Linked DNA regions of Bombyx mori. The protein of the gene in region 1 purifies or fractionates together with the protein of each later gene. This does not show direct contact. Links are inferred from orthologs where the notes say so. Each region holds a gene or a part of one and is shown on either strand. Other genes may lie near its edges.

The links.
Region 2: the proteins of TOR1 (region 1) and rptor purify together in Drosophila melanogaster (affinity purification with western blotting; 3 studies listed by BioGRID, with this or other methods). This does not show direct contact. The link is inferred for Bombyx mori from reciprocal best matches to the Drosophila melanogaster genes mTor and raptor.

Annotation. Positions count from the first base shown.
Region 1 is NC_085109.1:10,799,353-10,803,178, reverse strand, and holds part of TOR1 (target of rapamycin), read left to right. Parts: coding exon 1-145; intron 146-217; coding exon 218-377; intron 378-1,375; coding exon 1,376-1,591; intron 1,592-3,144; coding exon 3,145-3,516; intron 3,517-3,826. UniProt on the Drosophila melanogaster protein: Promotes cell and tissue growth, maintains tissue homeostatis and controls responses to environmental stress and aging. Regulates growth during animal development by coupling growth factor signaling to nutrient availability. Central regulators of autophagy.
Region 2 is NC_085123.1:798,353-802,178, forward strand, and holds part of rptor (regulatory-associated protein of TOR), read left to right. Parts: intron 1-179; coding exon 180-421; intron 422-611; coding exon 612-686; intron 687-927; coding exon 928-1,008; intron 1,009-1,106; coding exon 1,107-1,283; intron 1,284-1,936; coding exon 1,937-2,099; intron 2,100-2,323; coding exon 2,324-2,402; intron 2,403-2,748; coding exon 2,749-2,971; intron 2,972-3,484; coding exon 3,485-3,590; intron 3,591-3,826.

The DNA.
Region 1 (3,826 bases):
AAAACGCCGCCAACTACGTATTGAAAACTATGTGCATTCATGCACAGAATCTGGTGAACGAAGCCGCTATTATTTCGGAAGAGTTGATCAAAGTGGCAATACTGTGGCACGATCAAGTTTACATAGCACTCGATGAAGCGTCAAGGTTTGTTGGGTACAGATAATTTTAGATAAATATACCAAATATTGAACAACTAATCTCCGGCGATGATTTCAGGTTTTGTTTCAGCGAGAAAGATTATAAGAGAATGTTTAAAACTTTGGACAAAATGCACGCAATGCTGGATACCCCTCCGGAGACGTTGAAGGAAGTCTCATTCCTGCAGATGTATGGACGCGATCTACAGGAGGCGCGGCGCTGGTGCGAGTTATACAAGGTAAACTTGTTACAGGCATAAGGTCTCATAACCCTGGTTTAAACATTATAATGTATTATTTAACCAATATCTTTGCTACCTCTCTCTCTGGTGTAACTGGAAAAGCATCGGGGCCACCAGTAATCCTTCAATGATGAAAAGTACTTGAAAGATTCAAGTTGATATCATCATCATCATTTGTCTACCATTCTCCCAGTCACCTGGGGTCGACGTAACATGTTTTCTCCTTCCATACTCTTCTATCATATACCATTTCTTCGCTCGCTCCCCTCTTACACATATATGTGAGAAAAAATGGATCATCCATTTCTTCTTAGGTCTACCTCTTCCTCTATATCCTTCCACATTCATAGTTAACACTCTCTCATCACATGTCCATACCCATCCCAAACGCGCACTTTTCAACTTCTCTGTCACAGGGGCCACTTTCAGACTTCCTCTAATATATTCATTCTGTATTCTATCCATTCTCGTTACTACACATCCCTCGCTCCCCGAATCCTAATCACGCAGGAGCAAGTCACCGTCGTCGCCCTAGACACGTCAGATCCAATAACTCTTGCATTAGGTACCTTCAGCTCTAACACTAAGAGCAGGCTGAGGAACCCCGGTAACCGTACTCGCCGAACTCGACAAAGAGGTCGACGTGCAACCTAACCCATGCATCAGCCCGCTGAGTTTCTCGCCGGATCTTCTCAGCGGGTCGCGATTCCGATCCGGTAGTAGATTCATTCGCGAAGCAATTGCTCTTGAGTTCCTAGGTCTCCTTCGGAGGCGCTCGGGTGGCTGTTAGCAAATGCCACCCCTTCTGGCTGAGCCTTTGGTCGCCCACCTGTCCTGGCGAAACTGGAACGGCCTCCGGGCCACCAGTAATACTTCAATCATAAAAAAAAAACATGCATCGCAACATTAGCATCTCTGCTGCATGCAATCGCTTTCTATCCGCCATTTTTTTTTCAACATTGAGTTTATATATTAAGTATTATTTATTAATACAGGAGAGCAACGAAGAGAGGTACCTGAACGAAGCGTGGGATCTGTACTACCACGTGGTGCGGCGCATCCAAGCCCAGTTCCGGTCGCTGACGTCACTGGAGCTGCAGTACGTCAGCAAACGTTTGCATTCGTGCAAGGACCTGGAGCTGGCCGTCCCGGGCTCGTACGTGCCTAATCAGAAAATAATTAACATCTCGTACATACACAGCAATTTGCAGGTACGAATTTAGTTGCGAATTAGTATCATCAACACTGATAGCCGTTTCGCCTAAAAAACTATAGCGCAGGCGAAAAGTGAGTTAGTTTTTCATTTCAGATTGTCTAAGTATGTATATTGGTATATATTATATTATAATATAATACATATTATGTAAACGGTATATATCTGTTAATTGTATGTATATATTGTCTATGGTACACCGCAACATACCTGCTATATTTTTATATTTTCCAGAATTTCTGTAAATTAAACGGTTGTCTGCAAGAGATCGCTTTTAGCGATAAGACCGCCTATTGTACAAATGTATCTGCTTTTTTAATGTAAATTGTGTTTTGGTGTGCAATAAAGAGTATTCTCTCTCTCTCTCTAAGTTACTTTGCAAGAATTTCGAATTTTAAAAATTTTTTGATTAAGATTTTGCGTAAATATATGTATCGTTAACCATCAACTAAATAGTAATTTTAGAAGAGCTTTAAGCTTTGACGTTCTATTGAATTGTGATAACTTAATTAGGGCGTTATAGCATTTTAAATTCTCTTCATATTCAGATTCGATTGCACAATTTTGTGATTGACAAATTAATATTCAATTAGCAATGACAGGTAATAATTATCAGAACATAATTTGATATTATGGATAATAACATGTACTTTTAGGTTAGGAATTGTGTTCTTTTTTTTTATAATAAATATTTTATTGTCTATTTGATCTTACTTCTATATTGTTATATCACGGGAGCTCACACGAGTACCTACTCGGTACCAACCACCACCCTGCCTATTTCTGCCGTGAAGCAGTAATGCGTTTCGGTTTGAAGGGTGGGGCAGCCGTTGTAACTATACTGAGACCTTTGAACTCTTATCTCATGGTGGGTGTTTGCATTTACATTGTAGACGTCTATGGGCTCCAGTAACCACTTAACGCCAGGTGGGCTGTGAGCTCATCCATCCGTCTGTGGCGGGTAGCCATCATACAATACAAGATATTTGACCGATGCCTGAATCTCGCTTACGACAAGAAGCTTGAATATAATAATATACAAGTTCCGAACAACAACATTTGGACCGTCGGTCTACCGAACAATATCACCTGCTTGGTGGAAGATCTTCCTTTCGTTGTTTAAGCCTCACACACGTCCATCTAAGCAATAAATAAAAAAACATTTCCTACGTTTCAAAGACTTGGTAGTTTCCGTGTTCTTGAACTTACGAAAGTCAAACTAAATGTGTTTTTAAATATACCCTTTTTTTATAATACAATAAAATCATTTTTTTCTACACTATTTTTTATTCAAGTTTATTTTCTATTTTTTAGTTGGATTATCTATAAAAGCGTATTTTGTTGGTTTTTTTTTAAATTATTATTTATTTTTAATTTTTTAGCTGAATTTCAATTTTTTCAATTTTTTTATTAAGTATACCAAATTTCGAGTTAATCGGACGTTTTGAAGGGGGTCAAAATCATGTTCAAAGATTCCGTTACAAACATACACACGTCTGAAGGTAATAAAAGCGTATTAAAATTTGCTTGAACCTTATTCTTTTGTGTCAGGTAATCAAGTCGAAGCAGCGTCCGAGACGTCTGACCATACAGGGCTCTGACGGCAAACAGTACATGTTCCTGCTGAAGGGCCACGAGGACCTGCGGCAGGACGAGCGCGTGATGCAGCTCTTCGGATTGGTCAACGCTCTGCTGCGGGCCGACGCCGACACGTACCGACACGACCTCGCCATACAGAGATACGCGGTCATACCGCTCTCCCCCAACTCCGGACTCATCGGCTGGGTCCCGCACTGCGACACTCTCTACAATCTAATCAGCGAATTTCGCGATAAAAAGACGAACAAAACGGCGCTGAACACGGAACAGCAGATCATGTTGAGGATGGCCTCGGATTACCAGAAGTTGATGCTGAAGCATAAGGTGAGGTTCGGGAGTGCTCTGAGGAATTGTTCGAAACGATACCATCGAACCGCCCGCCACCGGAGTAGAGTTCATCCGTACTACCTGGAGCCACTGCGTTCATCCACAGTGCGTTTCCAGAGATCTTTTTTGCCACGTACCATCCGGCTTTGGAATGAGTTCCCCTACACGGTGTTTTCCGAGCGCTATGACATATCCTTCTTCAAACGAGGCTTGTGGAAAGTACTTAACGGTAGGCAGCGGCTTGGCTCTGCCCCTAGCATTACTGAAATCTATGGTCGACGGTAACCACTCACCATCAGGTGGGCCG
Region 2 (3,826 bases), on another chromosome or scaffold:
GCCTGTAAACAATCCCAAAATAATACCGCAAGCGAGTATAATACGGCTCACTTGATGGTGAGTGGTTACCGGTGCTCATGGTCAGCAATAGCCAGGCCGTTGTCTATGACTGGTATAGTGTAGTTTAGGGGAGGGAGGGAGAGGGAGCGAGAGAGAGAGTGAGGGAGAGTGCGCTGCAGGGTGCGGCGGGCGCGGCGTGCCGGAGCAGCTGCCGATGGTGCTGCAGGTGCTGCTGAGCACGCTGCACCGGGTGCGCGCGCTGCAGCTGCTGTGCCGGTTCCTGGCGCTGGGCGCGTGGGCGGTGCGCGCCATGCTGGCCGTCGGGATATTCCCCTACATGCTCAAGCTGCTGCAGGCCTCCGCGCCGGTGCTGCGCGCCTCCATGGTCTACATCTGGGCCAGGATCATCGCGGTCGATCCGGTTTGTATTACTTATACATTTCGTTCATTTTATATTCCCTCGGCCAAAAAAACAAGTGCTGGCAATTTCAGCGAATCAAATAGTGTAAATGCAAATTAAACGGTATTAATGCTTTTACACATATTTTGAGTGCAGAACGAAACGAAATGGTATTTCTTAATTGTACTTAATTAATCATTAATTGTTTCAGAGCTGTCAAGCGGACCTAGTCAACGCTAAAGGGCACACGTACTTCCTGTCCGTACTGCAAGACCCTACAGTCGACGTAAGTACCCGCAGCAAGGTGCACGCCGCGCGGGGGGGAGGGTACGCAAGACAATGGGATTGAAAAGTACACTATACACTAAATTGATAGACGAGCTTATAGTTCATATGGGATTGATTGTCTATCAGAGCCCGTGGACTACACTTTCCAATTGTTTCAATCTTATAGCCTGCGACACTAGGGCCATGCACGTAGCATTCAATCAGGATCATCTTCCATTGAAATAGTTCCGTTTCTGCAGAGCGAGCACCGCACCCTGGCCGCCTACGTGCTGGCTGGCATCGTGGACGGCTACCCGGCGGGGCAGGAGGCCGCGCTGCAGGTGAGCCCTCGGACCGCATCGCATGTGTTGTGTATCTACGGTCAGCTGCTGCAAGACGTACGTAAGAAATGAAACTAAATGAAAATTTCGATTGGCAGGGCTCAATGATATCGATATGCCTCGAGCAGCTCGGCGACAGGGAGCCGGTACTGGCCCAGTGGATCTGCATCAGCCTGGGCCGGCTGTGGCGCGGGTTCGAGGCGGCGCGATGGACGGGAGTCAGAGATCTCGCGCACGAGAAACTGTTCCCGCTCCTTGAGCATTCTGAGCCTGAGGTACTGATACGTTACCCCCCTCGAGGGGGCCGTCACGGAGCAGCTGTCCATGCTCCTACACTATTGTGTGCCCGGGTAGACGAGCCCACGGCCCACGTGACGAACAAGGTTGACAAGGCTTATAAACATCACATGAATAGTTTCAGTGCTACTGTGACGGGGTCCTAGTATTGCTTGCTTATATTCATATTCGTCGGCCTGTAATGTAAAGCGTACTAACTCGCGACGTGCTTTTGTACGCTTTACAAGTCGTGCTCGTTTGTCAGCAACATTTTCGACTCTGTAAGCGATTTCTCTTTACCTTCTATTAGTTTATTTTTATTTTTTTATTAAGTTTTATTAAGGGGCTTTATTAAGTTTTAAAAGAACTTTATTGGTGGTAATTACTGGTTTTATTTACTGGTGGTAGTAAGTACCACCGCCCTGCCTATTTCTGTTGTGAAGCAGTAATGCGTTTCGGTTTGAAGGGTGGAGCAGCCATTGTAACTATACTTGAAACCTTAGAACTCATATCTCAAGGTGGGTGGCGCATTTACGTTGTAGATGTCTATAGGCTCCAGTAACCACTTAACAACCAGCTGGGCTGTGAGTTCGTCCACCCATTTAAGCAATAAAAAAAAAGAATAGTTGATGTGACGATGTTGCGGCGGCAGGTCCGCGCGGCGTGCGCCTTCGCGCTGGGCTCGTTCGTGTGGTGGTGCGGCGGCGCCGGGCGCTGCGAGCAGGCCAACGCGCTGGACCTGCAGGTGGGCGTGCAGCTGGCCGCGCGCCTGCCGCTCGACGCCAGCCCGCTCGTGCGCGCAGAGATACTGGCCGGTACGTACCCGCGTGTCTGCCTATGTCACTCGGGAATAGTATAACTTACAAACAGTGAAAGAATTTTCCAAATCGATTCAGTAGTTCCGGAGCTTATTCAATACAAACAAACAAATCTTTCCTCTTTATAATATTAGTATAGATTTCTAAATCAAATAGAACTTCTCTATTTGATTTGAAGAGGTTTGAGTCTACAGTTTTATAATAATAATTATTTTTTACAGCATTACAGTGGCTGGTGTTAATATTTGAACAACACTTCATCGCTGTTTACATACAAGAACGGGTCAGAAGAAATGATAGGTAAGAATTAATATGAAGATTGCACAATTTTTTATATTTTTTTATTGCTTATCTGGGTGGACGAACTCACAACCCAGCTGGTTGTTAAATAGTTACTGGAGCCCAAAGACATCAACAACGTAAATGCGCCACCCACCTTGAGATATAAGTAAGGTCTCAGTATAGTAACAACGGCTGCCCCGCCCTTCAAACTGAAACGCATTACTGCTTCACGGCAGAAATAGGCAGGGTGGTGGTACCTACCCGAGCGGACTCACAAGAAGGCCTACCACCAGGTAAAATTAAAACTTATTTCAAAAATGTACCACTTAATAACCCAATTCACCTAAATACCTAATATGCACAGGGGTGGCCCGTCCGGGCGCGTGGAGGCGGGGCAGGAGGCGCTGGCGGGGGGCGGCGGGGGCGCGGCGGGAGGTCGGTCCCGGCCCCCCCACTACTCGCTGCCGGCCATCGGGTTCGGCTCCGTGCCGGTCCGGCTGTTCTCCACGCTGTGCGCCATGGCCCGGGAGCCGCACCCCAGGGTCGCGCAGATGGCCACTGACATCCTCAATTACATCTCGAACCAGGTCAGCCTCTCGCTCCAGACGTTTGCCATAAAATTAATACGGTGCAGTCTTATAATGTAGCAATGAAGCAAATGGCAAAAAAACACATGGGGGACGGACCCTGATCTTAATGACATATATCTACATACTGTAGCATAAACAACCAAACACTGAAGTATAGAGTCGATAAGCTAACGTACACCGCCTACATAGAGCTTACATATAATAACTGTGCAACAAAGAAATAGTAGGCAGCGGCATGGCTTTACCCCTGGCATTGCTGAAGTCTACGGGTGATGGTAACCATTCACCATCAGGTGAGCCGTACTCTCGTCTGCCAACACTACAAGGGCTATAAAAAAATAATTATTATTATGTGATCATAAATTAAAATTAAAATTAACCTATTTGTTAAGGTGGAACAAAGTAAGAATCTGATTTTTTTTTTGTTTTAATCGAATTTTTTTTTTTTCGGAATTCTTTGCGGACAAATATAATGATAAATGAGTTTTATAAAATTAGAATTGTCAACAGAGCGCCCAAGTGGACAGCGTGGCGGAACCCGCGCGGAACTCCGCCAGCCTGCCGCCCTCGCCCGGGACCCGCCACCACGAGCACGCCCGGACCCTGCCCGGACACGGTGCGTGCACCTACACACACTAGCGAACCTCTATATAACTCACTATTATATTGTTACGCGCTGGGGTTCGGGATAAATAAAAATTTCACCAAAGTACAACTAAAAACTGTATTCAACACTTAAAACACTTTAAAACAGTCAACCAACACTTTAAAACTCTCAATTCGCTTGTTCCGCTTCGCTTCAGGTAATCCGTTCGCTGTTTCGCTTCGAGTAGTTCCGATTACTGACTGACT